Cricetulus griseus: one gene and its partners. Each later gene encodes a partner of the first gene's protein in a complex. Links are inferred from orthologs where the notes say so. Each region holds a gene or a part of one and is shown in the gene's direction. Other genes may lie near its edges. The genes, in order: Med12, Med16, Cdk8 and Med13l.

Region 1 (7,013 bases):
ACTCCTCGCCTCTCTCCACAGCCAGGTGCACCAGGTATGGGTGTCTGGGCCATGGAGATGGCCTCAGGGTGGGGAAGGATGTACCTAAGAGGCCACTACATGCTTGGACCCTTCATTATTTTCTGATAAAAACATTTGATGACTTGGACTAGAAAGGAGAAGATCCCTGAGCACGTGTTAAACTTGTTTCTATCCTAGATTGTGATCAATTGGCGAGAAAACCAGTACTTAGATGATTGCAAACCAAAGCAACTAATGCATGAGGCACTCAAACTGCGGCTCAACCTGGTAAGGGGGAATCTGGCATGAAGGAAGAAGGGATGGGCCTGGAAATACAGTTAGGAAGCCCCAGGTTGGGGAAGACAGGATTGAGAATGGAGGCCCTAGGTTCTTTGAGGTCTTCCAATATTAACCCTGCTTTCTCAAGGGATACGGGACCTTTTAAAATGGTTAGAGGAACTGAACCCCTGTAGCCAGGATCCAATAGACTGAATACCCTGTGTGCTTCAGGCACGCTGCTTCAGTATTGGACATTCTGGCTGAGCCCTAGAAATACTAGAAACCTATTTTAGAATGGTGAATGGAATTATGGAATTTGTTTAGTACAAGTCCCATCTCTTTATAAGTAATGAAACAGATCCTGATATATCAAATTCAGCCACTGACCCAAGACTGAATAGTAAATCCTAAGTACAAATGATGAGACATGGCCTCAGGGGTCTCTGCTCCCACCCAACCAGGTTCGAACCTAAGCTTTTCTCAAACACTTATCACCTTGCACCATCTAACTGATTTGTGGTTCTGGCAGGTGGGAGGCATGTTTGACACAGTGCAGCGTAGTACCCAGCAGACTACAGAGTGGGCCCAGCTTCTCCTGGAGATCATTATCAGCGGCACTGTGGACATGCAGTCTAACAAGTGAGCATTCTCAACCCTGCAGGCCATTTTCCTGGAGTCCCTACCACATAACAGCTGCAGGAACCAGTGACTCCATGCCCTGAGTTCCCCACACAGTCTCACACCCCTTAGGATAACATCATGAGTATCCCTTCCTGCCTGTTTTTTCTTAACCTCTTGCTTCTCTGGTTTTCTCCATACCTGCCACAGTGAGCTTTTCACAACTGTGTTGGACATGCTGAGTGTGCTTATCAATGGAACATTGGCTGCAGACATGTCTAGTATCTCTCAGGGCAGCATGGAGGAAAACAAACGTGCATATATGAACTTGGTGAAGAAGCTTCAGGTGAGCAAGGGAGTCAAGAACAAGATTGGGGTGCTGGAGACTCAACTCTGCCTGTGTTTACTGTGTGGCCTGGGAGCTGGGAGTGGGGAGTGAGATGACTGGTTTTGGTCTGAGCCCTCTTCCTCCCCATTTCCTGTCTGTTCTTTTTTGTCTGTGCAATGCAGATTTACTAAATGCCTTTTTTAAAATTTACTCTTTGTTTGTTTGGTTTGAGACAGGATCTCATTTGGTAACACAGGTTGTCCTGTAAGGGATATGTCACTACATAGCCCATACTGCACTTGAACCCATAGCAATCCTCCTGCCTCAGCCTCATGAGTGCTGAGATTATCTTTGTTTTTTTTTTGTTGTTGTTGTTGTTTTTGAGATGGGTGGCTCTTTATATAGCCGAGGCTGGCCCTCAAACTGAAAATACTCTTGCCTCAGCCTCCCAAGTGCTGGGATTATAGCTGTGCACCACCATGCCCAGCTCTTAGTGTCTTTATACATACTATGTTCTCTGCTACCCTTGAGACTTCCTACTTCTCTTGTTCTGTATCTTTGAACTCATGGCCTATCTTCTTGTTCCTGCAGAAGGACTTGGGGGAGCGCCAGTCTGACAGTCTGGAAAAGGTTCATCAACTGTTGCCACTACCCAAGCAGAACCGAGATGTCATTACCTGTGAGCCACAGGGCTCCCTTATCGACACCAAAGGCAACAAGATTGCCGGCTTCGATTCCATCTTCAAGAAGGAGGCATGTTCTGTTGTCTTGCCATGCCCTCTACCCCCTAGCACCCCATTTTCATTTCTGATCTCACAATTCCAGCTAACACACTGAGTTCAGGAGCCCATTAGGCTCTCCTCAATAAAACCTACAGACCACCTGGGCTTTAAGCAAATCACTTAGGTTTCCTTGCACTTTATCTCCCCTTCTTTTGTAATCTCACCCTTTTCTTGAAAACTGCTCTACCTCCACCTATCTCTTCCTGACCCTCTCCCACTTTCCCTCCCCTCTGCCCCACCTCTTTTCTTGTCCTCTTACCGCTCTGCTGACCCCTGCCTCTTTTCCTCATGTCTCTCTACTTGCCCAACTCTACTTCCCTTTTTTCATGTTGGCTTCAATATTTGGATTAAAAACATTATATGTGCATATGTATGCCACTTATGTGTACAGATGCCCATGGAGGTCAGAAGTTGGATTCCCTAGAGCTGGAGTTATAAGTGATTGTGAGCCGCCTGATGTGGATTCCAGAAAAATAATAATAATAAAAAAACCTAGGTCCTATGCAAGAGCAGCAAGGGCTCTTAACCATTGGTCTATCTCTCCAGCCCTTAGTTTCAGTATTTTCTTGATTAAATGTATTACTCTGCATAGAAGAGGGAGAAAAGGGAATACAGAGTTTCAAATGCAAAGTGAAACCCCTTTGTGTATACACTCTCTTGATTCCTTTCTGCATCAGTGTGTCTCTCTCTCCCTCCTGCCCTCCCTGTTTCTCTACCCCTACTCCTCTGTCTTTCTCTTCTCTTTCTCTGCCATCTTTAGTTTTTCCTTGCCTCTCCTCTCCTTCCCCTCCCTTCCCCCTCCTCCCCCTCTTCTCCCCCACCTCCCTCTTATCCCCCTCCCCTCCCTTCCCTTCCCTTCCCTTCACTCTCCCTCTTCTCCTCCTCTCCTCTCCCCTCCCCTCCCCTCCTCTCCTCCTCTTCCCTCTTCCTCTCCTTTCCCCTTTCTGCTCCTCCCTCCCCAATGGTTTCTTTGTGTCCCTCACATTTTCTGTCAGCCTCTCCCCTCCCCAGCACCTCTGTTTCCCTGTCTGCTCCTTCAGTACCTCTTTCTGTCCTGGCGTTACCTTTCCCCTTCACGCCTTTCTCCTGCAATTCAACTCTGTGCCAGCAAAAATGGTCTTTCCTGCATATGTCTGTGTCAGTGTTTGTCTTTCCTCTTCTCATCATGTCCCCTGATCTACTTAAAAGTCTTTCCTTGTTTGAAAACTTGTCAACAGATATTTTACTCTTTCTATAAGTTCTCAAGTCCTGCCTCCTGTTTCCAAGGCTCAACAGCTCATTGTTTTCTCATTTTCTGGAGCAGGGTCTACAAGTTTCCACCAAACAAAAGATCTCCCCCTGGGATCTTTTTGAGGGCTTGAAGCCATCAACAGCACCACTCTCCTGGGCCTGGTTTGGCACAGTCCGAGTGGACCGCCGAGTGGCACGAGGGGAGGAGCAGCAACGGCTGCTTCTCTACCACACACACCTGAGGCCTCGGCCCAGAGCCTACTACCTGGAACCACTACCACTGCCCCCAGAAGATGAGGAGCCACCAGCCCCTGCCCTACTAGAGCCTGAGAAAAAGGCTCCTGAGCCCCCCAAGACTGACAAACAGGGGGCTGCTCCTCCCAGCACTGAGGAGCGCAAGAAGAAGTCCACCAAGGGCAAAAAACGCAGCCAGCCAGCCACCAAGTCGGAGGCTAGTCCCCCATCCCTACCTACCCCCTTCCTAATTTTGTGTGGTAGGGAGCTAAAGTTCCTGGTTTAAGGGAGGTATGGGGTACATGGGGAAGGGGTGCCATTAGAATCGTGATAATAATGTATCAGTGCCACTCCTGCTTACACCCTTCTCCCTCCTTCTCCTACCTCCCGACCCCCAACTGCTGTAACCTTTGTCCTCTGCACCCATGCAGGACTATGGCATGGGCCCAGGTCGGAGTGGCCCCTATGGTGTGACAGTACCTCCAGACCTTCTGCACCATGCAAATCCTGGTTCCATATCCCACCTTAACTATAGGCAGAACTCCCTAGGCCTGTACACCCAGAATCAACCACTACCTGCTGGTAAGTGCTAGTCACTACGAATGGTGGAGTTGAACATTCCTCCCTCTCCAGGGGAGATGTGGATGGCTGGAACTGTATTTTTTAACAGGCTGAAGGGATGAGGATCTCAGAGAGGTCAATTTGCTCTCCTTTCCAGGTGGCCCTCGTGTGGACCCCTACCGCCCTGTGCGATTACCAATGCAGAAGCTGCCAACTAGACCAACTTATCCTGGTGTGCTGCCCACAACTATGACTACTGTCATGGGCCTTGAACCCTCATCTTATAAGACCTCTGTGTACCGGCAGCAGCAACCCACAGTGCCCCAGGGACAGCGCCTTCGCCAACAGCTCCAGGCAAAGATAGTGAGAGGGGCAGTAGGGAGGACTGTCAGGGAGAGGGATTTTGGTGGGTCACAGGACTGAGGAGATACTTGGGAACTTCACAAGAACATGCAGGGTAGAAGGTATAAAAGAGACATGACAGAAAGCATTTCCTGAATTTGACTTCTCCTTTTTCCCTTTAGCAGAGTCAGGGGATGTTGGGACAGTCATCTGTCCATCAGATGACTCCTAGTTCTTCCTATGGTTTGCAGACTTCCCAGGTAAGTGCCTAAGACTATGAACATAAGGGAGAGGGGAGCAAGCTGCTTTACACACTCATGCCCCAGCTCTGTCTCGCATCCTTCTCTCCAGGGCTATACTTCTTATGTATCACATGTGGGATTGCAGCAACACACAGGCCCTGCAGGTACCATGGTGCCCCCCAGCTACTCCAGCCAACCTTATCAGAGCACCCACCCTTCTACCAATCCTACTCTTGTAGATCCTACCCGCCACCTGCAACAGCGGCCCAGTGGCTATGTGCATCAGCAGGCCCCAACGTATGGGCATGGACTGACTTCCACTCAAAGGTATCCAAAGTTAGTGGTGAACTGGGAAGGGACACTGAGATATAAGCAAGCATCTGATTTGGGAAATCCCATACTAGAGGTAATAGATGAGCCTGAACTTTGGGAGACATCAGGAATACTACTTTTGTCCCATCACCATTACCACAAACAACCTGAGTTGGAACGGACCCTGGAAACCAATAGTCTCACATTTACAACCCTGGTACTTCTTGAGGACCAGAGAGAAGAAACAAATACAGCTAACTTTGATAAGAAGGGATCTAGGGTTTTTAGACATAGTAAAGAATAAGAAGTCCTAAATCTGGTATTAAATAGTCAACTCTAGGGCTGAGGATATGGTTTACTTGATAGCATGCTTACCTAGCATGCATGAAGTCCCAAATTTAATCCCAAGCAACACATAAATCCTGGCATGTTATTACACACCTGCAATACCAGCACTCTAGAGAAAGATCAGAAGTTCAAGATCATCCTTGGCTACATAATGAGTTTGAGGCCAACCAGAGCTACATGAGACCCTTGTCTCAAGGGAAGAAAAAGCACTTGAACTCTAGAATGGAGTAACAAATAAATTTCATAATTAATTCTAGTCAAATCTTAGTTAAGACTTGGGTAACTGTCATGAGGCTCTGCAACTTAGGATTCAGAATACTCTAGAGTGGGCTGATTAATTGCCTGCTGTGTAGCCAACGTTATGTTAGGACTAGAGTGAGGAAAGAGTGAAAAAAAACATACAAGGTTCCTCACCACAAAGATTTTTTTACCCTAGTTGAGAAGTAGAGGTCTTATACAGAAGAAGAAGAAGATACCATGCAGAAGAATGTTTAGAGAATGGTATGAACAAAGACATGATCAAGTGTTCAGTTGGGTGCCAACAAACAAAATGGGACTTGAGAAAAGATGGGCTACTGGCAATGTAGATCAGAGTCACTAGGGAAAGATTCACGGATTCAAGCTGACCATTAAGGATAGCTATGATTGGGATTTGTAGAGAAGGGGAAAAGGAAGGGCATTCCAGGTAAAGACAACAGCATGAGCAAAAACATGGGACTGGATTGAGTGTCTAGAGACAGAAAGGAGCAGATCTTAAATCTTAAATGTAGTGTGAATCTTGAGCTAGGGAAGGAGCAGGGGCTAAGTTAGAGGGGACAAGCTGACATATGACATTGAACAGTGAGATATAGCATTGAGAGACAACCCCAGAAAGGACTGCTTTGCTCAAGAGAGTGATAGGAGGAGCTTGGCATGGTAAGAGATCACTGTGGAAAGAGTGGACAGAGTGTAGGGGAAGGTGGGAGAAGACGAGCGAGGGAGCCCAGCTGCAGATTGTCAGGGATGGGCAGACTTGGGTAGAACAGGCATATGGAGTAGCAGAAAAACTGGGGGTGTTTCTGGGGCACAACAGCAACCACAAAACCCTTGATAGGTGTTTATAGACTGCTTATCGTGTGCAGACTGTTTTTCATAAGAGAAAAATAGCTGAAACAGAATCGAAAAATTCCTAAGCATTAAGGTTATGAGACAGTAAAATGGAGTATTGTCTTTGTGTTTTATTCCCTGACCTAGAATTCTGTCAGACTCCAGAAGGGCTCCTCTAGTTAGTGCCAAGAGGAATGAATACAATGACTTGTTAGTTGCTTTCAGGTCAGGGACCCAGGGTTTGTACCACCCCCTTTCTCTGCCCTGTGCTTTGACCCCTGGACCTCTTGTCTTTGGAGGTTTTCACACCAAACACTGCAGCAGACACCCATGATGGGTACTATGACTCCATTGAGTGCCCAGGGTGTCCAGGCAGGCGTCCGTTCAACTTCCATCCTGCCTGAGCAGCAACAGCAGCAGCAACAACAGCAGCAGCAAACAGCAGCAACGCAGCAGCAGCAACAACAGCAGCAGCAACAGCAGCAGCAGCAGCAGTATCACATCCGACAACAGCAGCAGCAGCAGCAAATTCTACGGGTAAGGCCCTGGGGTTGCGTGTGAGCCTTAGGAGCCCAGGAAAGAAAGGATACATTCTTCCCATACTGTCCCCAAGATGAAACATGAGGTAATGTGCTAAGCACCCAGCAGAAT
Region 2 (7,598 bases), on another chromosome or scaffold:
AGAGGCTGCTGCTTCACGCCGTCTGCCAGTACATGGATCTCATTTCAGCCAGTGAGTGCCTGCTCCCACTGCCCCTTCACCCATTCCTCCTGAGGAATCGGGGGCCATGGGGCCCAGCCCCAGAAACGGATGTGTTGTGTGGGTTCATAGCAGAGCCATGGCTGTGGGGCTCTGGTAGTTATTTAACTCATGAAGAGTGTGCTCTGGTGTCCAGTGGGCAGATACCCTCCATCCACAGCTCCAGGGAAGAGGAACCAAGGTGAGGCTGGTAAGGCCTGCAGTTGAGGGTCTATCCCAGACCTGGAGAGGAGACAACAGGTTCCCAAATCCACAGGCCTTTGTCTTCCATTTTCTTGTGTATGCAATGCTGCCTCCTTCCAGGGATGGTTGTCAGCAACCTTGGTAGCTCCAGGTACCCCATCTGGTCCTTCCCTTTCTTTCTACCTGTCTCTGCCTCCTGCTTGGAGTTGCTGTGGTGACAGTTTCCATGGCAGCCCGGGGAATTGGTTCCTCTGGTTTCCCTCTGTGGTAGAATGAAGCGGCCTCCACACCTGGCTCTTCTCAGGGACTTGAGAATGGAGAGGGCTTAGTGTGGGGCAAGCTTCTCTGTAGGGACTGTAGGACTGGACGGAGCGGGTGCCCCTGGACAGGGGAGTCACAGCTAGCCTCACACCCCTCCAACCACCCAGTTTCTTTTGTTGGTCTTGGGTGCTTGGGTATAGCCTAGGCTAGCCTCCAGTGCATCCCATGAATAGCCATATGCACAGGTTTCTGTGCATGCGGTCCTGAACCTCCTGCCTGCATGGCTTCACCTGCGCTAGGGGAGCCCTCTGGCCCAGCTCCTGCAGTCCTCCTCACATTGTTTGTCCACAGGTGCTGACCTGGAGGGCCGGAGGCAGATGAAGGTCAGCAACCGTCACCTGGACTTCCTGCCTCCAGAGCTACTATTGTCTGCCTACCTGGATCAGCAATGATGGTGGAGCCCCTACCTGCTGACTCGCCCTGCCGAGACCTCCAATGTCTGCTAATTTCTTGCATACTTTCAGAATCAGAACACCCCCACTTCTCTTCGGGAGTCCCCCTTGCCCCTACCCCTTCATGGCCCAGCTTGCACAGGGCAGCCTCGTAGCCCCCTGCTCTGGTACTTGTGTTTGGGTGGGGAGACCTGAGCTACGCTTTTTCATGCTTATTCTCTGTTTAGCTTTTCTTTGGCTGAAGTCTGAAGCTCAGGCAAAGTGACCAGACTCTTTTACCCCTGCACTCCACCCCCCCATCAGTTTTGGCATGTTTGGGATAGGTTTGCTTTAATTTCTCCTCTGAAGCGTTGAGGCACAACTAAAACACCTAGTGCCAGCTGGTAGTGGGTTCTGTTGTGACCCCTGCCTGACCCCTCCAGGTTTCAGCTCTGATGGAGGTGTCTGGTCCTCTCTAGGACTCAGCTGATCTCCCCAGGGCACTTTGTCTTGTGTGTGTGTGTGTGTGTGTGTGTGTGTGTGTGTGTGTACATGCCATGGGCCTGGTGAACCTGGACAAGCTTCATCTCAAGGGCTGATTTTATGCTTTTTTGTGATGTGTGTTTCGTGTCCCCGACTCCCTGGGCTCTGCCTGCCCTTCAGATCCTCCTCCTGTTAACACTTATACCTGGGTCCAGGACTTCCAGCCAGAAGCCTCTGACCTTGTGTGTTGTCCTCCTCCCTGTCCCCTCTGCCACCCAGCATAGCTGTGGTCACTGCAGAGGCTCCATGGGCCCGCCTCCTCCCCTTTTGTGTGGTTCTTTGTGCTTGGGGGAAAGGGACACTTTTAATAAAGCCTTGGTGCTCAGGCCTTGACTGTTTGTGTCTTGGGGTTTGGTGGGGAAGTAACAGGTCACCGAGGGCTGGGGGCCGGAAATCTGGACACACAGGGCAAAGTGCAGTCTTGATTCTTTAGTTCATTTTAAAATGTGTAAAATACTTAAAGGTGGGATGCCAGGCTGTGGCTCAGTGGGTAGAGTGACTGATTTCGTAGCATGCTCAATTCCATTCCCAGCACCATATACCCTGAGTTTGAGTCTAACTTGGGCTACATGTCTTTTGGGACAGGGTTTCTCTGTGTAGCTCTGGCAGTTCTGGAACCTTCTCTATAGACCAGGCTGGCCTCAAACTCAAGAGATCTGCCTGCTTCACCCTCCCGAGTGCTGGCACTAAAGGTCCAACAACAGACCTCTGCGTCTCATGTAGCCCAGGCTAGCCTCAAACTCACAGTGTCAGATCCTGTCACACAAAAGTAAAAACAAAAATCCCAAATTTAAATAACAATAAATAACAGCTGAACTCATGACTTGATGGTGCACAGCTGTTCTGGAGGCTGAAAGAAGAATCTTAACCTCAACAGTGTGAGGCCAACCTGAACTACATAGCCCGTGTCTCAAAAAGCAAAGGGGAAAATTTAGTTAAGTCACTTACGTGGGGACTAATTTCGCCATCAGTGAATATGCGGAAGATAAGCTATACATAAACTAATTTCAGAAGAGAGATGTAGGAGTATGCTTTGGTGTTTCTGAGGGTGGGCAAAATATGGAACGCTTCACGAATTTGCGTGTCATCCTTGCGCAGGGGCCATGCTAATCTTCTCTGTATCGTTCCAATTTTAGTATATGTGCTGCCGAAGCGAGCACAAACAGCTGCTTTGTCCAGGCAGTATTTATAGGCTCTAAATTCAAGCCCTTTATCGTTAGGGTGAGTACAGTTTCCTTACGAAAGTTTTAGTACTTCTCTCCTGTCTTTTACAGAAGACCAAACCTATAATGTAAGATATAGCTAGTGATCAGAAATGACAGATTACTTGTCTTTTTTCGTACATACAGCTGCAATGGTTACTAGGAATTATTGTATGCAAATTAGCCGAGTAGAGGGTGGAGCCTGGGTTCTCCCAGAAGTCTGTGCGAGGGGCCGGCACGAGCGGAGAGATGGCGGCCCCGGATCCCGGGCGTTGGGGCGAATGTGGATCGCGGCAGCCCGGCCGACTGGGCGCTCGGAGCGGACAGGTCAGTGCCAGGATGCGGAACGCGTGACCGGCACAATCCGGGCGAGGACCACGAGCGGAAGGCCGAGGGGCGGAACTTGCGGGGTCAGAGGGCGGGCCGGGGAGCAAAGCTTCCTGGGTAGCGGACTGGGTGGAAGGGGCGTGGTCAGGACCGGTGCTTGAGGAGAAGCCTGAGGCGACTAGGCCGGGGAGGGGGCGTGGCCTGAGGATGGGACTGTCTGAGGGGGCGTGGCCTGAGGCAAAAGTTGAGCTGAGAGGCGGAGCCTGAGGAAATGAAGCTGCTAGAGAGGGGCGTGGCCTAGGGAGCAGAGTCTGAAAGAGTGGGGCGTGGCCTGAGGATCTGGGACTGATGGAGAAGGGGTCCTTGGCCTGATAACCCGTAAGAAGAGGGGCCTGAAGCTGGTAGTTGGCTTGGGGGCGGAGCCTAGGGCCTTAGAAGGTGTGTGTGGAGCTTAAAGCCCGTGGTGGGGCCTGGTTGAGGCACATGGGTATGTGTGTTAAGTCTCAGGATTTAGGTCTTGGGCGAAGCTTTGGGGGCGGGGCGTGGGACTGAACTTGGAGTGGGTGCGGCCTGTTTGTGGAGGGTGCTTAGTGCTTGGAGGCTGAGCTTAGGCTGAGGTCTGGGTGGGTGATTAGGTGGTATGGAGGGTGCTTTAGGCTCCAAGGGCTGGAGAACTCTCTAGAGCCACTTTAGCCAGGACCTCGCTGTTCCGCAGGAGCCAGGGACTGTGCTGGGTGCTGTGGGCATAATGGAACTGGTCTACGTGTGCGAGTGGGAGAACTGGGCCAAGAACACGTACTGCCCGTCGCTGCCCCTGGCCTGCGCCTGGTCCTGCAGGAACCTCATCGCCTTCACCACGGACCTCCGAAATGATGACCAGGGTGAGTGTCGGTCCATAGAGGTGGACTGTGCCGGGTTTGGATCCACCCTACCTCAGATTTCCAGACACAGTGTGTCCCGGTTTGAAAGGCTCATGGTGGCAGAGCCAGGCTCCCTGTTGCCAGGGAAAGCAGTCATATACCAGTCACTGTCCTCCGACTCTAATGTTGGTTATGGCTGCACTGGATAACCCTCCCCGGGGGATAAGTGGCATGGAGGGGCACTCAGGGAGAGGGGAAATGGGCGTGGGAATCCTGGGACACTGTGAGCCACACCGACCTCACCTGTTCTCCTTCCATCGCAGACCTGACACATATGATCCATATCCTAGACACCGAACATCCCTGGGAAGTGCACTCTGTCAACTCTGGCCACAGCGAGGCCATCACCTGCCTGGAATGGGACCAGTCAGGTGATGCCACGAAGTTCACTCTCATTCCAGAGCCCTGAGCAGCATGGGCTGCCTTCTTCAGTTCTCAGTCCTAAATCCAGAGTCACTGGGAGTCCAGAGTGTGGGGGCAGGGGGTGGCAGTCAACCTGCCCCTCAGGAGGGTTCCTGATGGCACTCTGTCACCACAGGCTCACGGCTCCTGTCAGCCGATGCTGACGGGCATATCAAATGTTGGAGCATGGCTGACCACTTGGCCAACAGCTGGGAGAGCTCAGTGGGAAGCCAGGTGGAGGGGGACTCCATCGTGGCGCTGTCCTGGCTGCACAACGGCGTGAAACTGGCCCTGCACGTGGAGAAGGTGAGGGGACTTACGTGTGGCGGAGTTGTGAGTGACCAACCTGTCTCTCCCTTGCCGCTGCCAGAATTCTCTGTCATGTGCCAGGCCTGTTTGCGTGGGATACCTGTCAGTAACTGCCATCCGTGAGCTCCTGTCCCCAAGAACATGCTTAACTACAGCTATTGTCCCCCTGAGCCTCCCCTTTCAGTGATGGGATGATGGTCCCTATAGAGTGACCCTGTTCCACAGGCAGCTGCATCCAATGGTGTCCTGTTTTACAGATGACTGCTATGTGGTCTTCAGACCCCACTCTACTGTGATTTAATGACGACCACAATTCCCCTATCCATGTGTATTCTGGAGTTCAACCAGTGAGGAGTGAGCACCAACAGACATCTGAGATGTCTGTTTCCTCGGAGGTAGATGCCTTTGAGGAAGGGGGCATGGCCAGGTCCTTGGGGACCAGCAGCTTCCACACACCTGCTGAGACCACGCCTACATGTGGCCACTCACCAGCTCCCACATCATGACATGGAGACCAATTAGTTATGAATGCTCTGCCTTAGCTTAGGCTTGTCCCACTAGCTTTTTTTGTTTGTTTGTTTTCTGGACAGGGTTTCTCTGTGGCTTTGGAGCCTATCCTGGAACTCGCTCTGTAGACCAGGCTGGTCTCCAACTCACAGAGATCTGCCTGCCTCTGCACCACACCACCACCACCATCTGGCTCCCACTAGCTTTTTTTTTTTTTTTAAGATTTTTATTTATTTATTATGCATACAACATTCTGCTTTCATGTATATCTGCACACCGGAAGAGGGCACCAGATCTCATAAGGGATGGTTGTGAGCCACCATGTGGTTGCTGGGAATTGAACTCAGGACCTCTGGAAGAGTAGTTGGTGCTCTTAACCTCTGAGCCATCTCTCCAGCCCTCCCACTAGCTCTTATAACTTATTTTAACCTGTTTCTCTTCATCTGTGTTTTGCCTCAGGGCTTTTTACATTTCTTTCATTCTGTATGTCCTACTTTTCTTGCTTCTCCTGTGTCTGGCTGGCCAACCCCAGGCATCTTTCTCTCTCTCTCTCTCTCTTTCTCTCTCTCTCTCTCTCTCTCTCTCTCTCTCTCTCATTTATTTATTTATTGGTTTTTCGAGACAGGGTTTCTCTGTGCAGCTTTGGAGCCTATCCTGGCACTCGCTCTGTAGACCATTCTGGCCTCGAACTCACAGAGATCCACCTGCCTCTGCCTCCTGAGTGCCGGGATTAAAGGTGTGCGCCACCAAAGCCCGGCTTATCGTCTCCTTCCTTTTCTCCCGAGTTCTCTCTTGTTCTTCCTTTTCCTCCTTATTGTCTCTGCCCACCAGCCCCACCTAGCCCTCTACTGTCTAGCAATTGACTATTTCAGCTTCTTATTCCGACAAATCAGCAGCCTTAGGCAGGCAATGCAAAACAAATGTAACACATCTTCACATAGTTAAACAAATGCAGCATAAACAAATGTAACACATTTTTATATAGTTAAAAAAAAAAGGCCGGACCTGGTGGCATTTACCAATCCCGGCACTGAGGAGGCAAATAGCTCTGAGCTTAAGGTCAGCCTGGTCTACATAGCCAGTCCCTGTCTAACCAGGACTAAACAGTGACACTTTGCCTCCCAAATTTAATGTAGGGCCTGGAGAGGTTGCTCAGTGGTTAGAGCACCGGCTGCCTCTGCCCTCTGCAGAGGACCTGGGTTACATCCCAGCATTCATATGCTGGCTCACAACCACGTGTAACTCCAGCTTCAAGGGATCCAACCCCTTCTTCTGACCTCCACAGACTTCTCACCCATGAGATGCACATATATACCTCCAGAGAAACCACTCAAACACTTTCCAGTTTTTTGAGACAGGCTTCCTCATTGTAGCCCTGGCTGTTCTGGAAATCACTCTGTAGACCAGGCTGGCCTCAAACTCAGAGAGGTTACAACAGAAAGTGAAGAACCAAGTTTAACCCCCTGAGAAGTACACGGCTTGTGCATTACTGTGCGCTAGAGAGGCCTCCTTCATGCAGTGCTCTTGCCGAATTGTTGCTCGGTGCTTGTGGGGCCATAGAAGGTGGACCCCAAGGAGCTGAGCAAACCCTTCCTTCTGTTTCCCTTTCCTGCAGTCGGGTGCTTCCAGCTTTGGGGAGAAGTTCTCCCGTGTGAAATTCTCTCCTTCACTCACGCTGTTTGGTGGCAAGCCCATGGAGGGCTGGATTGCGGTGACAGTTAGTGGCCTAGTGACTGTGTCCCTGCTGAAGCCGAGCGGGCAAGTGCTGACATCCACTGAGAGCCTGTGCCGGCTTCGAGGCCGAGTGGCACTTGCTGATATCGCCTTCACAGGCGGTGGGAACATTGTGGTGGCTGCTGCAGACGGTAGCAGCGCGTCACCCGTGAAATTCTACAAGGTGTGCGTGAGTGTGGTGAGCGAGAAGTGCCGAATAGATACTGAGATCCTGCCCTCCTTGTTCATGCGGTGCACCACCGACCCCAACCGAAAGGACAGGTTCCCCGCCATCACACACCTCAAGTTCCTGGCCCGAGACATGTCTGAGCAGGTAAGCATAGCTTCATCCCCAGCCCAGCTGGCCATGACTTGTCCTGAGATCAGAATCTGACAGGGACCTGGTCGGGCAGGAAAGGTCCTTCCTGGTGGCCCAGCCATGCCAGCATTCAGAGGCCCTGCACCCCTTGGCTTGTGGCTCCTTCATCCACCTTCAAAGCTGACATGGTGTCTCCCATTCTCCCTGCCTCTCACCATCCTACCTCACAACCCCACAGTGAAACCAGGCTCTGGATGGTCCAGGCAAATCCTCAGCTTGAGTCCCTCTCCTGAGTCCCCTGACCTGTCTTTGGGGCTGTCATCCCACTGGTTACGGGTCACCTGGGTTCTCACTGTGTGAATTCATGAGGCCCTGTGCCTCCTGGCATATCTTGTAGACCCAT
Region 3 (7,666 bases), on another chromosome or scaffold:
TAAATAGAGAAATCCTCTCTCTTAAAAAAAAAAAAAGTTATGGGCTGGAGAGATGGCTCAGAGGTTAAGAGCACTGACTGCTCTTCCAGAGGTCCTGAGTTCAATTCCCAGCAACCACATGGTGGCTCACAACCATCTGTTATGAGATCTGGTGCCCTCTTCTGGTGTGCAGATATACATGAAGCAGAATGTTGTATACATATTAAATAAATAAAATCTTAAAAAAACATTATTATACAATATTACAATGTGACTCCTATTGAACTTTCTCCCTTTTTACTATAAAATAAGTAAGGTTTGATTATGTAAATAAAATTTTAAAAATTAAAAGTACCTTATACTTACAAAATCCTTGGAATCCTGAGTTCTCAGAAGTCTGACCTCATTTTTGTACATAAACAACCTTCCCCAACTTCCATATAATTTTATTAAAAGGGAATTTTATTTTATTTATTTATTTTTTGGATTTTTTGTCTTAATTTTTTATTTAAATTCTTTGATTATTACTCATATTTACATATCCATCCCCCCCATTCCCTCGCCCTCCCATCCTCCCATGTTCCCCCCACCCCCACTCCTCCCCAGGGATAGTGAGGCCCTCCACCAAGGACCTTCAAAGTCTGTCATATTGTTTGGGGGGACTCCTTGCTGTATCTGGGCTGCAATAGTATCCCTCCATAGGGGAATTTTAGTTACTATTATATTATTACCCAATTTCATCTGTAATGTAATTTTTCCACTTACTTCACAAAATTGAAGTTTGCTCCAATACACTGGATAACTGGGCATATCAAATTGTTACCCATAAATAAAAGAGTAGCTTAGATATTAAGACCAATCTCTCCTAAATTAGAACTAACCCTTTTCTCTCTAAATTTATTTATTTATTGGGTTTTTTGAGGCAGGTTTTCTCTGTGTAGCCCTGGCTGCCCTGGACTCTCAATAGACCAGCCTGGCCTTGAACTCACAAAGATCCACCTGCCTCTGCCTCCAAGTGCTGGGATCAAAGGCGTACGCCACCACTGCCTGGCAAACTAATCACTCTTTATGAGGTTATATTTATAAAATAAAATTGACTTTAAAAATCCACTAAAATTAAAAGGTAATACTTTAAAATTTTCTAAACATCCAATGAAATATTTCATAGAGTAAAAAGCAACATAGACTCAAGGGAAACATGACCAACTGGTTTAAAATTACAGGGTTTGGTTGGTTTGAATAAAAAGACCTGATTTCCTCTGTCTCTCTGTTGTATTTACATATTTGGGTCACATTGCATTTTGTTTAGTTTGTTTGAGACAGGGTTGCTCTGAGTAGCCCTAGCTGTCCTGGAACTCACTCCATAGACCAGGCTGGCCTCAAACTCACAAAGATAACCTGCCTCTGCCTCCCAAGTGCTGAGACTAAAGGTGTGTGCTACCACTGCCCAGCTTATACTGCGTTCTTAATTATTGTTTTAAAAAATATTTGTTTTTCATTTTATATATTAGTGTTTTGCCTGCATGTATGTAAGTGCACCATGTTTGTCAGTTCCAGAAGTGGGTCCTGGAACCCTAGAATTGGAGTACAAACAGTTATGATACTCCATGTGGGTCCTGGGAACTATACCTGGGTCCTCTGTAAAACCAGTAAGTGCTCCTAACCACTGAGCTACGGCTCCGGTCCCATTCTGGATTATTTCAATTGTAGGTGGAATATCCCTATTGTGTTTTACATATGTCAGATGTGGAGGTGGGAGGGGAAAATTAGATTTGGATAATTATAATTAATAGATGTAACTTGATTTTATCCAGGTGGGTTTTGTTATTGTTGTTTCCTTAATGTCTTTACTAGCTACTTGTCTCTCCTGAACCCTGCCTTTCTTGCCTATTCATCCTCACCCTTATGAGATTCTAGAGACAAACCTTCCTCACAGTGTGCAACATATTAGGCTTCCACAACACAAAGGTGTGATGCTTGGCCAACAGGGGGAGCTGTGAACCGAAGCCCCGCCCCCCCCAATCTGCATCTTCGTTTTGATTAAATCTTTCTAGGATACACAAGCAGACCATTAACTCCCACCAATCCAAAAGCTAAGAATTAGCCTTTAGAGGACGTGTAAGACCATTAGCAGATGCATTCTTGCCTTCTATCACCAACGTCCTGGATGTTTCCACCAATGTGTGTATACGTGTTCTTTGTACAGGTGTAAGCATACATGTCTGGAGGCTAGAGGTTGATGTCTGTCATGGAACCTTGAGCGCACCATTTCAGTTAAGACTAGCTGGCCATCCTGCTACAGAGATCCCGCCTTTTCTGCCTGCCTAGCATTAGTATTACAGGCATACATATACATGTATGGCTTAAAAACAAACAAACAAAAAAGGTGCTTTAGTTTCTTGATGATTGACTAACCTGTAAGTTGGTATAAATCATTTTCTCCCCAAGTTGTGTGCAGACAGGGTGTTTATCGCAGTAACAGAAATCAAACGACAACATGTGTCAAGCTTTTTGTCATCTACCATTACCCCCCAGCCCCCTTCACTGTTTTGTTCTCTTGGTATAAAATTGTCATTAAACTGTTAACAAGTTGGAATTTATGGTAACTTAAATTTATGTTTCTAAGCCGTCGCCACTCATATTTGGCTCCACAATAAACTCTTATTGTCTTCGAGGTGATAACTGGGTTGTTTTTTGTTTTTGTTTTTTGTCAACAGACTTAAATGAAAACTAGGGTTCAATCTTCAGTGCAGTGAAAATAGCTTTACCTGACTGGAAGTATAATGGTACGCTTGCCTAGCAAGTACAAACCCCGAGAACTTCATGAAATATACAGTCAGGTGAAGGAAGACAAGCCATGAATACAATTACGTAGTTTATTTGTAGTATTAAAACCTGGAGGCTTGGGGGGGGAAGCAGCCATAATGCCGTTTAAATCCTGAAGTTCAGAAGTGACTCCAATACAAAATAACCCCCTCGCTAAACAGTGTCTTTTGCTAAGCTTATATGGGTTAATTTAGATTGCAGAGATAACGCTTTGGGGGAAAAATAATCTCCATGCAACCGAAATTCGTTGCGTGATGGACTACCAATACCATCATGCATCGCTCTGAATTCGCGGCGTCGAGGAAGAGGCGGCTACAGCAGGCACCCGGGCATTCTGAGCCTTGTAGTTTCTGGCCGGGCTACCGACTGGGTTGGTCCACGTGGTGGTGAGTCTGTCAGCAGCTCCGCACTGCCGCCGAGCGAGGCCCTTTCGCGTACCGGCGTCAGAAGGGGTGGCTGCCACCTCCTGAGCCACTCGCAGATGGGGCGGAGTCAGCGCGAGGCTTCGCGACCTTTTTTACGACAGCGTCTGCCGGGTTCCGTGCCCGCCCGCCCTCCTTCCCTCCCTCCCTCCCTCCCTCCCTTCTCCTCCTCCTCCTCCTCCTCCTCCTCCTCCTCCTCTCGGAGAAGCTACCGGCTGTTGTGTGGCGTCGCTGGTCTGTCGGGGCTGATGGCACCCTGAGTGTGCGTGAGCGCGTGTGGGAGAAGGTGAGGCTCGGACGCGCGTGGGCGAGGAGCAGAGCCAGCCGTGGCCGCCCCGCGCCCGCAGCAGCACGCGCGGCCAACCGCGCGCGAGAGCCGGCGCCCCGGGAGCGCGGGACAAGGGCGGACGCTGCTCCCCGCCCCCAGCGCGTCCCTCGGCTGTCTCGCGCCCGCGGGGACCGCCCGGCGCTCCCCTGGATGTCCCCGGCGCCCGCGCGGGGCCTCCTGCCGTCGCCGCGTGAGGCGGGCTGGTGCTGCGGCCGGCGGGTGTAGCTCGGGGGCTGCGGCTGCCGCGCGGCCCGGTCTCCACCGCGGCCCTCGGCCCCCCACCCCAGCACCCCGGCCTCGGAGGCTGTGACAATGGACTATGACTTTAAAGTGAAGCTGAGCAGCGAACGGGAGCGGGTCGAGGACCTGTTTGAATACGAGGGCTGCAAAGTTGGTCGAGGCACTTACGGGCACGTCTACAAGGCGAAGAGGAAAGATGGGTGAGTGTGGGTGTCGCTGCGGGAGTCCCCGAGGCTGAGAGGCAGGTGGCCAGCCAGGGTGCCACTACTTCTGCCTCTGTCCCGGTCAGCCTGCTTTGGGGAGGAAGTGGTGTCCCAGGAATCCAAATACACAAGAAACCCTGCGTGCAAGAGGGAGAAGGACCGTCTGTCTCATGGGCAGTGTTCCTTTTTTTTTTTTTTTTTGTGGATTTCAGTACAGTGTTTTTGTTTTTGTTGTTGTTTTTTTAATCGTTATAAAATGCCAGTTCGAATGTGTTTTTCTTTGGTCGATTTATCACGGTAACCTTTTGGGGACTAACTCACCCGCCTCTGGAGTGATGTCTATCAGTCTGGAAGAGAAGCCGAGATCTTTTTCTCTTATCAATTGTGAACAGTTGACCAAATTTGGATTTGATGGGGGAAAGAAGACAGCGAGTGAGTGTGGGACTGGAGAGTTCCATGGAGGATCATCTGTAATGTAAAGTAGCAGTTGCTATTCAGGTATCATTAGCTGTGAGGTTTTATATAGAACAATGGGGATTTGGTGCAGAGTGGATGGGGGGGGGAAGCAAGTGACAGATAATCGGGGCTATGTTGTGCAAGCTCTTTAACCAGAATTTATCAGCTGCCAGTGAACTTTAAATAATCTTTCCTGCTTCAAAAATTCTCCCCTAGAAACAAGAAATAAACCTATGACTGGTAATGCTCTTAATTTTGCTTCTTAACAGTAAATAGAAGCTCTCATTTTTTCCTTTGTCAGTAGATGACTGCATTGTAGTATTAACAAAAGGGAAAGTAATTGTTAGTTGGGGAGAAAATCTTTATTAATTTCCCGTTTTCTCTTGTACAAATAGGTATTATTTCTGTTGCCTTTGACACTAGGAAATTATTGGAAAGATTGTCATAGCTTATTATATAATCTTTGGGGTTTATTGGAAACAGCTTTCCTTGAGCATCCCTTGTTTGACTAGTTGCTATTTTACTATTTAGAAGACTTTTTTTTTTTTCATATTCACAGGCGTGCATATTCAGAACTGCTTTAGCACTACAAAGTGAAACCTTAAAGTTGCGGGGAGTTCTTTCCAAGGGAGCTTGTTTATAAATACTTTAGTAGTCTGGATAATGGAAAAGGAAGTGTCAGTTTATTAAACACTTCTCCTTATTAAGCCTTCTTATAATGTATTTCAGTGCTTTTGTGCAAAAATGAAACCACGAAGATATGGGCAGAAGGTAGTGGTGGAAAACTTGGTGTTCTGGGTGCTGTGTGGCTTTAAATGGATAGCAGTGAGTGGCATCCAGAGCCCTTGCTGCTGATTCTTGTCTGACTAGATTTGTTTTGTCAACATTTTATTAATGAATTATATTTAAAGAAATCATCTGAATTTGCAGCAAAGTTTTCTACAGAGGGTTAAAGCATCTTCCATCCCTCAGTATCACATAGTTTGAAACATGGTCATAACATCTCCACTCCCAAGACATTTGATATGGTGTAGTACATTGTCCAATCTGTTGTGTTTTTAAGAATGCTAGTGATTTTTGTGGCCCTGTGAAAGGAGCCAATTCTGGCTTCATACATTGCCAAGTTAGGCTAATAAAATATCCAGATGTGTTTGATTGTGGGTTTTTTAAGTATATGATGTATATGCAGGGGTTACTTTATCTTTTACATCTTGATGGTAAGTTTTCATCTAGGATGTTAAGATTAATTTCAGAAGAAATTACATATCTTAAAAATAGCTGATGTTAAGCACTCAGGAGACAGAGGCACTCAGATCTCTATGAGAGATCTATGTCCTGGTCGCTAGTTCCAGGACAGCCTCCAAAGCCACAGAGAAATCCTGTCTCAAAAACAACAACAACAAAAAATAGCTGGTGTTAGTGTGTATTTCTTAATCACTTATGGTAATTGCAATTGAATATTTGCATTTGGTTTTTTTTTTAAGCTTTTATGTTTTGGGTTTGTTTTCCAGCAGCCTTGAATGATTCTGTTTATTGTGATGGACTTTGGTAATTTTTGTAGTGAATCAAATGCCATGGGAGTTTTAGAATTAAAACAGCTGTGATTGTAGACCACTGACCAGGCTAACCTTGAAATCAGAGATCCATTTGCCTCTGCTTCTTGTGGTGGCACTTGAGACACCATGGTACTTGGTCTCACAAAAGTATTCTTAATCTGAGCTGGGCCGTGGTGGTGCATGCCTTTAATCCCAGCACTCAGGAGGCAGAGGCAGGTGGATCTCTGAGTTGAGGCTGGCCTGGTCTACAAAGCTACACAGAGAAACCCTGTCTCGAGACACCCCCCCCCAAAAAAAAAAAAAACCAATCAATCCTATTATCCTCAGTTCATATATGAGGAAACTAAGCCGTTGAAAGTTAAGCAGATTTGTCCTGTGAGTAGCAATGTCAGTTAGGACCTGAGAATGTCCTTGCGGTGTATATACTCTGGAGCACATCCCATGTCTGCCCCCTCCCCCCCCAAAAAAAAAAGGATTTCTCTGTGTAACAGCTCTGGAACTTGGTTTGTAGACCAAGCTGGCTTGGAACTCACAGAGTTCCTGCCTGCCTGTGTCTCCTGAGTCCTGGGACTAAAGGCATGGGCTAAAATGGAGCCCATGCCCTTAACCACTTTATTTCATATAATTAGCTTGAAGACTCCGGACAGCATCCCTGTCTGCCACTGATACCTTAGATACAATTGAATCTGCTAGTTGATATGGCCCAAGATGACCTGGAACTCACTCTGTATGTAGCTCGGACTGGCCTTGAACTTAAGCAGTCCTCCTACTTCAGCCTCTTGTGCTTTTTAATTTTATTTTGTGTATATGAATGAGCACCACATATATGATTGATTGAAGTCATGGATGGTTGTGAATCATTATGTGTGTGCTGGGGGTCAAACCCAGGTCCTCTGCAAGAGCAACAAGTAACCTTAACCTCTGAATTTTTCTGCATCCTGAGAAATTGGGCAACTCCCAAAGATGCAAAAGCTACCCAACATTCGTTTTGTCACCTTGGTGTTGGGTTAGTTAGTACCTGCTCCCATGGTTGTCTGTTGTTGGGGAGTCAGCACAAGGGACTCTAGATTCAATGTTTATTGTAGTTTTGAGTCTTTGGATAGTTTGGATGTGCATTAATGAGTGTTCCTTACAACCTTTTAAAAAAAAGTGATGGGGCTGGGCAGTGGTGGCACATGCCTTTAATCCCAGCACTGGGAGGCAGAGACAAGCGGATCTCTGTGAGTTCGAGACCAGCCTGGTCTACAAGAGCTAGTTCCAGGACAGCCTCCAAAGCCACAGAGAAACCCTGTGGAGGGGGGGGAGTGATGGGAGCCAGGCAATGGTGGCATACACAGAAGCAGGCAGATCTCTGTGAGTTCCATGCTAGCCTGTTCTACAGAGCAAGTTCTTGGACAGCCTCCAAAGCTACACAGAGTTTCTATCTTGGAGAGGGGGTTAAAAAGAAAGAAAAAAAAGAGTGATGGGAAGGGACAAGAGTAATATTTATGGTGCATGTCTTACCCACATGGCATCGATTAGTACATTTTTAGCTCCTGTTTTGAGTCATTTTCCAGGTTTAATTCTTTTTTGTTTGTTTGTTTTGTTTTTTGTTTTTCGAGACAGGACAGCTGTGTAGCTTTGGAGCCTATCCTGGCACTCGCTCTGGAGACCAGG
Region 4 (7,013 bases), on another chromosome or scaffold:
GGTGTGCACTCACTTTTTCCACTGGTGTAAGTGAAACTTATAAACATTCCAGTGCATTGTATTATATTCTAAGTCATGTTTAAAAGTGGATACTTAAATCTAGCCACTGATGAATGCCACTTTCCGAAAAGCTTGTTCTTGTTTCTCAGCAGTGGATGAGCATGCCTGTTTCCCTGCACCTTTGCTAGTTCCGAAATGAAGTGATTTTTAAGCGTTTTGTGCGATGGAAATGGTTCGTTATCATTTTATTGGAAGTTGTCTTGTAGAATGCAGGGACTGAAGTTAAAGTGAACAGAACAGATTGTTGATGGTTTGTCATTATCTCAAAGTCTGAGTCCCATGCGATTAGATACTACTGCAGCATGCTATGTCAGATATTCTACACATGGAGCTTACCTTAAGATGCAGGGTTAAAGGATGAGGGGGGTGGGATAGGAGGTTGAGGATTTATGCCCTCAGTGGAGTGGGACAGTTCTCAAGGAGACTGGCTTACTGATATTAGCCTTCTCAATTGGCTGATGGACATTTGAGGAACAGTGTTTATTTCACTGGGATGAATTAGGGTATAATTATATTTGACATCTGCATGTGGCAGAGTTAAGGGGGTCCCTCTAGCCATAAACCCACCACTTCTCATTTTGTAGCTGTCTGCTTTGTGGTGTTTTGAACTGACTGTTGCTTGCATCTTGTAGATTGTGCCTTGCCAGTACATGCTGCAGACAATGAAGGATGAACATGTTTTCTACATTCAATACTTGAAGTCCATGGCATTTTCAGTGTACTGCCAGTGCAGGCGCCCGTTGCCTACACAGATCCACATTAAGTCCCTCACGGGCTTTGGACCTGCAGCCAGCATTGAGATGACCCTCAAGAATCCGGAGGTGAGTTTTGGAGGCAGAGATCTCTGCAGAGAGCCATCTTCTGCTGTAATATGAACCGCAGCACCTCTCCTACCTCCCTGCCTAGAGCCATGACTCTGCATCTTGCCAATCCCTGAAGTTTGATGCCTGTGACTGCAGACCTTCCTGGGGCTGTGTATAATGGATCTTACTGTGGTTTCAGTTTCTGCTTTCCTAGTGCCTATTGACATTGGGCAAGCTTACTTTCTAATATAGTAGTTTCTTTTAATCAAACATTGGTGGCTTATAGCATTTACTAGATAGGTGTTTTAAACAGCTAAGCCACAGGGCCCCATAGTTGTTGAATTCTAACAACACTTTTGCTGTCTGTGTTGTCATTGCTAACTGTATATTTAGTCCTGGAGAGGGAATGGCGGGAGCCTCCTGTTGTCATTATTCCTTGTTTTCTTCCTCGTCGTTGCTCTGGGTTTTATTGTAAATGATGTCTTGATTGGCCTTGTGCTGATACTGAACTTGATTCTTATTTCAGCGGCCCAGCCCAATCCAGCTTTATTCCCCTCCCTTTATATTGGCCCCAATCAAAGACAAGCAGACAGAACCAGGAGAGACTTTTGGTGAGGCGAGCCAGAAATACAATGTACTCTTTGTGGGCTATTGTCTGTCTCATGACCAGCGCTGGCTTTTGGCATCCTGCACTGACCTCCATGGGGAATTACTGGAGACCTGTGTTGTAAACATTGCTTTACCAAGCAGGTGAGAACCCTTGCTGTTGTGTTCACTTCTGTTAACTCTGTGGGGATGGCATGGATGTGTGCTTTAGAAATGGACTGTGTGTCTTACCAAGTGACAGCTGATTCGTGTAGGACCCTTCCTGTTTCTGTCTCTGTCAGGTCACGGAAGAGTAAAGTGTCCGCGCGTAAGATTGGGCTGCAGAAGTTATGGGAATGGTGCCTGGGGATTGTCCAGATGACATCTCTGCCCTGGAGAGTCGTCATCGGCCGCTTGGGGCGTCTTGGCCATGGGGAGCTTAAAGGTGAGCAGTCCCTGAAGCAGGTGCAGGGACAGAGGTGACTGAACTGATGATGGCAGCTGAGCATGCAGGGCCTTAAAGTTGCCCCAAAGACCAACCTTGATGACAATGATTGTTTTATATAAAGGGAGAAACCAGGGTTTAAAAGCTTCTCTGTAGCCCCCATCACTTACACAATAATATTCAAAATGTAAAACAGGAAACATGTTTCATTAGTATGAAATGGTAGTTTAATTTCATAGTATTACATATTAAGACAGTAAACAGAGTAAGTCTATCAGAGTATAGGAGACTGTTAAAGTCATATGTAAGAATAGCCTTCAGGGCTGGAGAGATGGCTCAGTGTGTAAGATGCTTGCTGTAAGCGTGAGGGCCCAAGTTGGACCTCCAACAGATTCCTTATGTGTGGGTGCAGCTTCTGACATCACTAGGAGACAGTCTCACAGAAGACTCCCCAGGCCTCTGACTCATACAGTCACCCCTTTCCACAGTGTTCCCTGAGCCTTAGGTGCAGGAATTGTTTTGTAGATTAAAGTCTTACCAGTATGACTGCTTGGACATAGAATTAATTAAAGAAGAAGACATACATTGAAAAGTAGCCTGTGGTTAGTAGAGTGGGCAGTGTCCTTGTTAAGGGCCAAGAGTATAATTTCATTTTGCAAAGCAAGTGATCACTTTGAGGCTCTGCAGTTCTGCCAGTGTGAACAACCATAAGACAATACCTACATGAATGGCTGTCTGTGAACAGAATTCTATTTACAAAAACAGGTGGTAGGCAGGATTTGGCCCCAGACTGTACGTAGTTCACACCAGCTCCTGTGTTAGAGTGTGTGCACTATTTGACTACAGGAAGCGCAGCCAGGTACTGTGGAAATCCCTGGGATTAAATCTTTGAGAGAGACAGAGCCCATGTGCAAGCTGCTGCTATAAGAAGGCAGATCAGCACTCAAAGTTTCAGACTCACAGGCATGTGTGTACACACACTGCAGTGCGTGCCAGACCAGGGGTGGGGGAATTGGGGGAGCTGTCTTCTAGTCACACTTGATGTTGTGGACTGGGAGAAAATGGGGCCTTTTCATTTTTTAAACAGCACTTCTCTTAGAAGCAGTCTGCTATCAGTAGCCAGGAGGTTAATACACTAGGGGATTCCGCCCTTCATTTCTGTCAGATTGCCTCTCTTCCTCCCTGGTCTGCTTCATAGTCAATCTTCTTTCTTAAAGGCTTTCAGCTATTCATAACCCTTGGGAAGGGGAGGGAATAATAGAAAAGAAGCAGGGGGTGAACGTGTTGTCTGTTGCTTGGTGTTTCAGAAAATGATTCAGGCCCTTTCGGTGCATGACTGTGGGAAGGGGTGTACTCTCCTTCCTTGCCCCTTAAGGGGAGAGCCTGAGTATGGCTGGAGGAGCACATAGTCACTTCCCTGCTGACCTGGGCTCCTCCTTTGGGAGCCATGGTTTGAGTGAGGGCAAACAGAGGCCTCAGCTTCCAGGTAGCCTTGGTGTCTGCTGTTTAGCTGCCAGTCTTGTCAGAAAGAGGACTGTCTTCCTGATGCATTGTGACACTCAGGTCTGTCTGATATCCTGCCATTATAAGACATTTTCTTCATGTTCTCAGCCACTTTTCCCTCTCCCACTTCAGTGTGAATTTCATTAGAAATATAAAGCACACTGCCCTGCACTTCCCTGGGAGGGAGAATTGCATGACTTTAGAGATGCCTGCGTTGAGCATCAGGAACTCAGTGAGAGCACTGAGAGCAGAAGCTACATAGACCAGGACTCAGCAGTGCTTAGACACAGTGCCCTTCTGTTTAGGGGCAGTGAGCAAGTATCAGAGGGAAGTGCTGGTGGGGTAGTGAAAGAATCAGACCCTGAAAAAAGAATGGCTAGCACAGGCTAGCCCAGCCAGCAGAGACCTTAGCATTCAAGGCATTTTAGAACTTGAATCTTCCAGGGTCTGTTGCGGGCCCTCAAAGGACACTCTAGACAAGATGGCAGCCTATAAAGAGCAGGCCTTTGTTTCTGCATTAATACAGTGAAGTAGAAGCCAGGAAATAAAGGACTAAGTGGAAAGCCCCACTCCCTTTAGGACAGGGTCACACCAGTGACATTTCCAAGCAGAATTGACAAACATCTAAAATACCATATGAACCCCTAAAGACTGTGTCTGTGATCTCTGACTTCAGACTGGAGTATCCTCCTTGGAGAATGTTCGCTACAGACAATCAGCAAACAGCTCAAGGATGTGTGCCGGATGTGTGGGATCTCCGCTGCAGACTCTCCTTCTATCCTTAGTGCCTGTCTGGTTGCCATGGAGCCCCAGGGGTCCTTTGTAGTGATGCCAGGTAAATTGTCTCTTGTCAGTTAACATCAATTAGGTATTTTATCAGTCCAATGTAATGCATAAGTATTTCATCTCTAAGAGATGCTTGATTTAGACCTAGAAAATGGGACCATCTGATACCTTCCTAGGGAGGACTTAATTATTGTTGACCACAGCTTAAGTCTGGATATGAGTGAAAACAGGTAAATCCACAGCTAGTGAGTGTTGTCTAACCCTAGTCTCTTGGCATCCTAGGATTTTACCCTCCAAAAAGCTTCTAGACCCCAGTGTGGTTCCCAGTGCTGTAGCTGAGAATGAATAATAAAGAAAAGAGAAGAGCACTTAACACAAGGTTGGACATAGGTTAGCTCAGTGAGCTTTAGAAATGCAGCTGGCTTGTGGGGAGCAACAGCTATTTGCTGACTGCCCCTAAGCACTTCTACACGGTTAGGTCTGCTTTACACTTCAGATAACAGGAAGTCAGGAGAGTGACCGAGGATAGGCTTCAGTACAGGACAGTGGCTGGACCATGCTTCTTTTACTTCAGCTCACCTTGGTTGCCATCAGTAACTGGGAAAGTTTACATGACTTTTAGATGTTTCTGCCCTCATTTATGAAGTAGAGACAATTGCTGTGACCTCAGGGTGGGTGTGCTGAGCAGTGAGACATGTGAATGGAGCTTAGGACAGACCAGTATGTGATAAGTTTTGAGTATAGGGTTAGTTAGAGTGTTAACTGCTGTCACGTACAACGGTGCTTTTATAAATTGTGAGTTCAAAGTTGGAAACAATGCTGAGAGGTCAGTATTAGGGTTTTAGTTTACATCTTAGATAAGTAATCTACAAAATATTTGGTGGACTGCATCAGGTTTAACTTCACATTTCTGGTGTGAAGGTCAGGCCATCATCACTGGTGTTCTCCATCGGGTTCTTTAAGGACACTTAAGGAACTGGGGCAGCCTTGAATGCCTGTCCCTGAGACTTTGTATCAGGGGAGAGCCTCCTTCTGGGGATGTGGTATGCAGGGCACACTGACACACCCTGCTCTTGAAAGATGCCGTCACAATGGGCTCCGTGTTTGGCCGAAGCACTGCGCTGAATATGCAGTCGTCTCAGCTGAACACACCTCAGGATGCTTCCTGCACCCACATCTTGGTGTTCCCGACATCATCAACCATCCAAGTGGCTCCAGCCAACTACCCCAATGAAGATGGCTTTAGTCCCAACAATGGTGAGTGGAAGGCACAGTAGTAGGTAGAAAGTGTGGGGTGGTGGATGCTGCAGGCTGTTGGATGTTGTAGAGGTGTCCTAGAAACCACAGAGAGGAGATGCAGAGTCTCAGGACCACCTGGGTGAACTGCTCTCTGTCTGCTTGAGTGTGGAGGGCATGGCCGTGTGAAGATGCAACCTTCCTAGCTCACTGTAGAGATGCAGTTTACCGGAGACTAGCTCCGTATCTGATCATTCTTAATGGAATTCTGTTGGAATACCTTTATGGGATTGAAAGATGATCATATTTTTGTAAAATGCTCATTTTTTGTGATGTTCTTGGATTTTAATTACCTACCAGTATTCATGTTTAATAGGGAGGGGAAAAGATACTAAAATGTGACTATGTCAGCTTCACTGAAGTCTCAATTCTGTGGGAATGGAAGGGCTCATGACAAGTGTCCATGGCATCTAGGTATTTGGTGATAGTTTACCTCCACTTTTCTCTTCCAAATTTCCCATGAGTGCACCCTGGTTTTGAAGTGTGAGAGGGAGAGCATCCCCCAAGGAACAGTGCTTTGATCTGCTTTGGAATGGGCTCCTCCCATGTCAGGACTGGCTCCTACCTGTTTAGCTGGAGTCTGCTTGTTGCTGGATAGTGCCCACATTGACCTTGCAACATTCGAGCTGCCCCTTGAACTGTCTTTCATCTTTTTATTTGTGTTTAGAGCTCTAAGGAGTTGGGGGCTTTCTCCATTGTATTTTTATTTAGTTAGCAGGTCACTGGAGAGAAAACGAAAGGACAGCTTGTAGCACTTGTATGCAATAAATGCCTGTTAGGTATCTACACCGTCCCTGTAGCAGGTGAAGATTAGCAGAGCATGATATACTAAAGTGGAATATGGTTACTTCTTAATTTTCCTGTGTTTTTCTCCCCTCTAGATGATATGTTTGTAGACCTTCCATTCCCAGACGATATGGACAATGACATTGGCATCTTAATGACTGGGAACCTCCATTCCTCTCCCAACTCCTCCCCGGTTCCGTCCCCAGGCTCTCCCTCTGGAATCGGTGTGGGCTCTCACTTCCAGCACAGTCGGGTAAGGACTATAGGAAGGAGGTTGTTGAGAACCACCCCAAACCTCAGGAAAGTCATCACCACCAACCGCCATGCTTTGACTACACACACCTCTCTCCCCAGAGGTTGAGATCTCTGTGGGCCACTGCCTTCTAGCCCATTTTGGAAAGCAGGGGTTTGGAAAGCAACATTCTGACATTCCTAGTACACCTCTTCATTAGAAAGTTAGTCTTCTGGTGTGCTAGACTCTCAGTGGTGCTCCTGCCTGCAGCTTTGCTTGGTTTTGGACGGCAGGGGAGGTTGGAGGGCTGAGAAACTGCAGGTGCATGCTGTCCATCCCAGCCTCCCCAAGAAAGGTTTGATAATTTTTTTCTTAGCATTTTGCATCATCTTAGATTTTTATAAGGCTTTTAATAAGAAGCAGATGGGCACAGATGTTGCTCAGCCTGTGCAGTGTTCTGAGTTGAGGAACTCCCTGCAGCACGTGACTGTCTGTGAGGAATCGGTGGCCTGTGCCC

What was found.
Region 2: Med12 (region 1) and Med16 share a complex: the UniProt entries of both Homo sapiens proteins name them as parts of the mediator complex. The link is inferred for Cricetulus griseus from reciprocal best matches to the Homo sapiens genes MED12 and MED16.
Region 3: the proteins of Med12 (region 1) and Cdk8 are in contact, whole or in part, in a cryo-EM structure (PDB 8TQ2), measured with the Homo sapiens proteins. The link is inferred for Cricetulus griseus from reciprocal best matches to the Homo sapiens genes MED12 and CDK8. Residues at the interface, in NP_005111.2 of Homo sapiens: Pro26, Gln27, Gln31, Glu33, Asp34, Leu36, Asn40, Val41, Lys42, Gln43, Gly44, Phe45, Asn47; in NP_001251.1 of Homo sapiens: His143, Ala144, Trp146, Phe180, Asn181, Ser182, Pro183, Pro186, Ala208, Arg209, His210, Thr212, Lys213, Met273, Pro274, Pro320.
Region 4: Med12 (region 1) and Med13l share a complex: the UniProt entries of both Homo sapiens proteins name them as parts of the mediator complex. The link is inferred for Cricetulus griseus from reciprocal best matches to the Homo sapiens genes MED12 and MED13L.

Annotation. Positions count from the first base shown.
Region 1 is NC_048604.1:68,956,897-68,963,909, reverse strand, and holds part of Med12 (mediator of RNA polymerase II transcription subunit 12), read left to right. Parts: coding exon 1-34; intron 35-198; coding exon 199-288; intron 289-808; coding exon 809-918; intron 919-1,107; coding exon 1,108-1,243; intron 1,244-1,816; coding exon 1,817-1,978; intron 1,979-3,310; coding exon 3,311-3,688; intron 3,689-3,902; coding exon 3,903-4,053; intron 4,054-4,189; coding exon 4,190-4,395; intron 4,396-4,556; coding exon 4,557-4,634; intron 4,635-4,725; coding exon 4,726-4,943; intron 4,944-5,712; coding exon of another isoform or gene 5,713-5,716; exon of another isoform or gene 5,717-6,644; intron 6,645-6,661; coding exon 6,662-6,899; coding exon of another isoform or gene 6,900-6,923; exon of another isoform or gene 6,924-6,938; intron 6,939-7,013. UniProt on the Homo sapiens protein: Component of the Mediator complex, a coactivator involved in the regulated transcription of nearly all RNA polymerase II-dependent genes.
Region 2 is NC_048598.1:100,702,794-100,710,391, reverse strand, and holds the start of Med16 (mediator of RNA polymerase II transcription subunit 16), read left to right. Parts: upstream 1-2,874; 5' UTR 2,875-2,947; coding exon 2,948-3,025; intron 3,026-3,257; exon of another isoform or gene 3,258-3,403; intron 3,404-3,740; coding exon 3,741-3,906; intron 3,907-4,208; coding exon 4,209-4,316; intron 4,317-4,483; coding exon 4,484-4,653; intron 4,654-6,778; coding exon 6,779-7,210; intron 7,211-7,598. Other genes in the region: R3hdm4 (R3H domain-containing protein 4), read left to right, coding at 1-51, 874-974. UniProt on the Homo sapiens protein: Component of the Mediator complex, a coactivator involved in the regulated transcription of nearly all RNA polymerase II-dependent genes.
Region 3 is NC_048597.1:82,145,351-82,153,016, forward strand, and holds the start of Cdk8 (cyclin-dependent kinase 8), read left to right. Parts: upstream 1-3,721; 5' UTR 3,722-3,867; coding exon 3,868-3,995; intron 3,996-7,666.
Region 4 is NC_048597.1:98,632,308-98,639,320, forward strand, and holds part of Med13l (mediator of RNA polymerase II transcription subunit 13-like), read left to right. Parts: intron 1-692; coding exon 693-881; intron 882-1,389; coding exon 1,390-1,613; intron 1,614-1,723; coding exon 1,724-1,893; intron 1,894-4,072; coding exon 4,073-4,231; intron 4,232-5,103; coding exon of another isoform or gene 5,104-5,144; exon of another isoform or gene 5,145-5,145; coding exon of another isoform or gene 5,146-5,243; exon of another isoform or gene 5,244-5,262; coding exon 5,263-5,439; intron 5,440-6,359; coding exon 6,360-6,517; intron 6,518-7,013. UniProt on the Homo sapiens protein: Component of the Mediator complex, a coactivator involved in the regulated transcription of nearly all RNA polymerase II-dependent genes.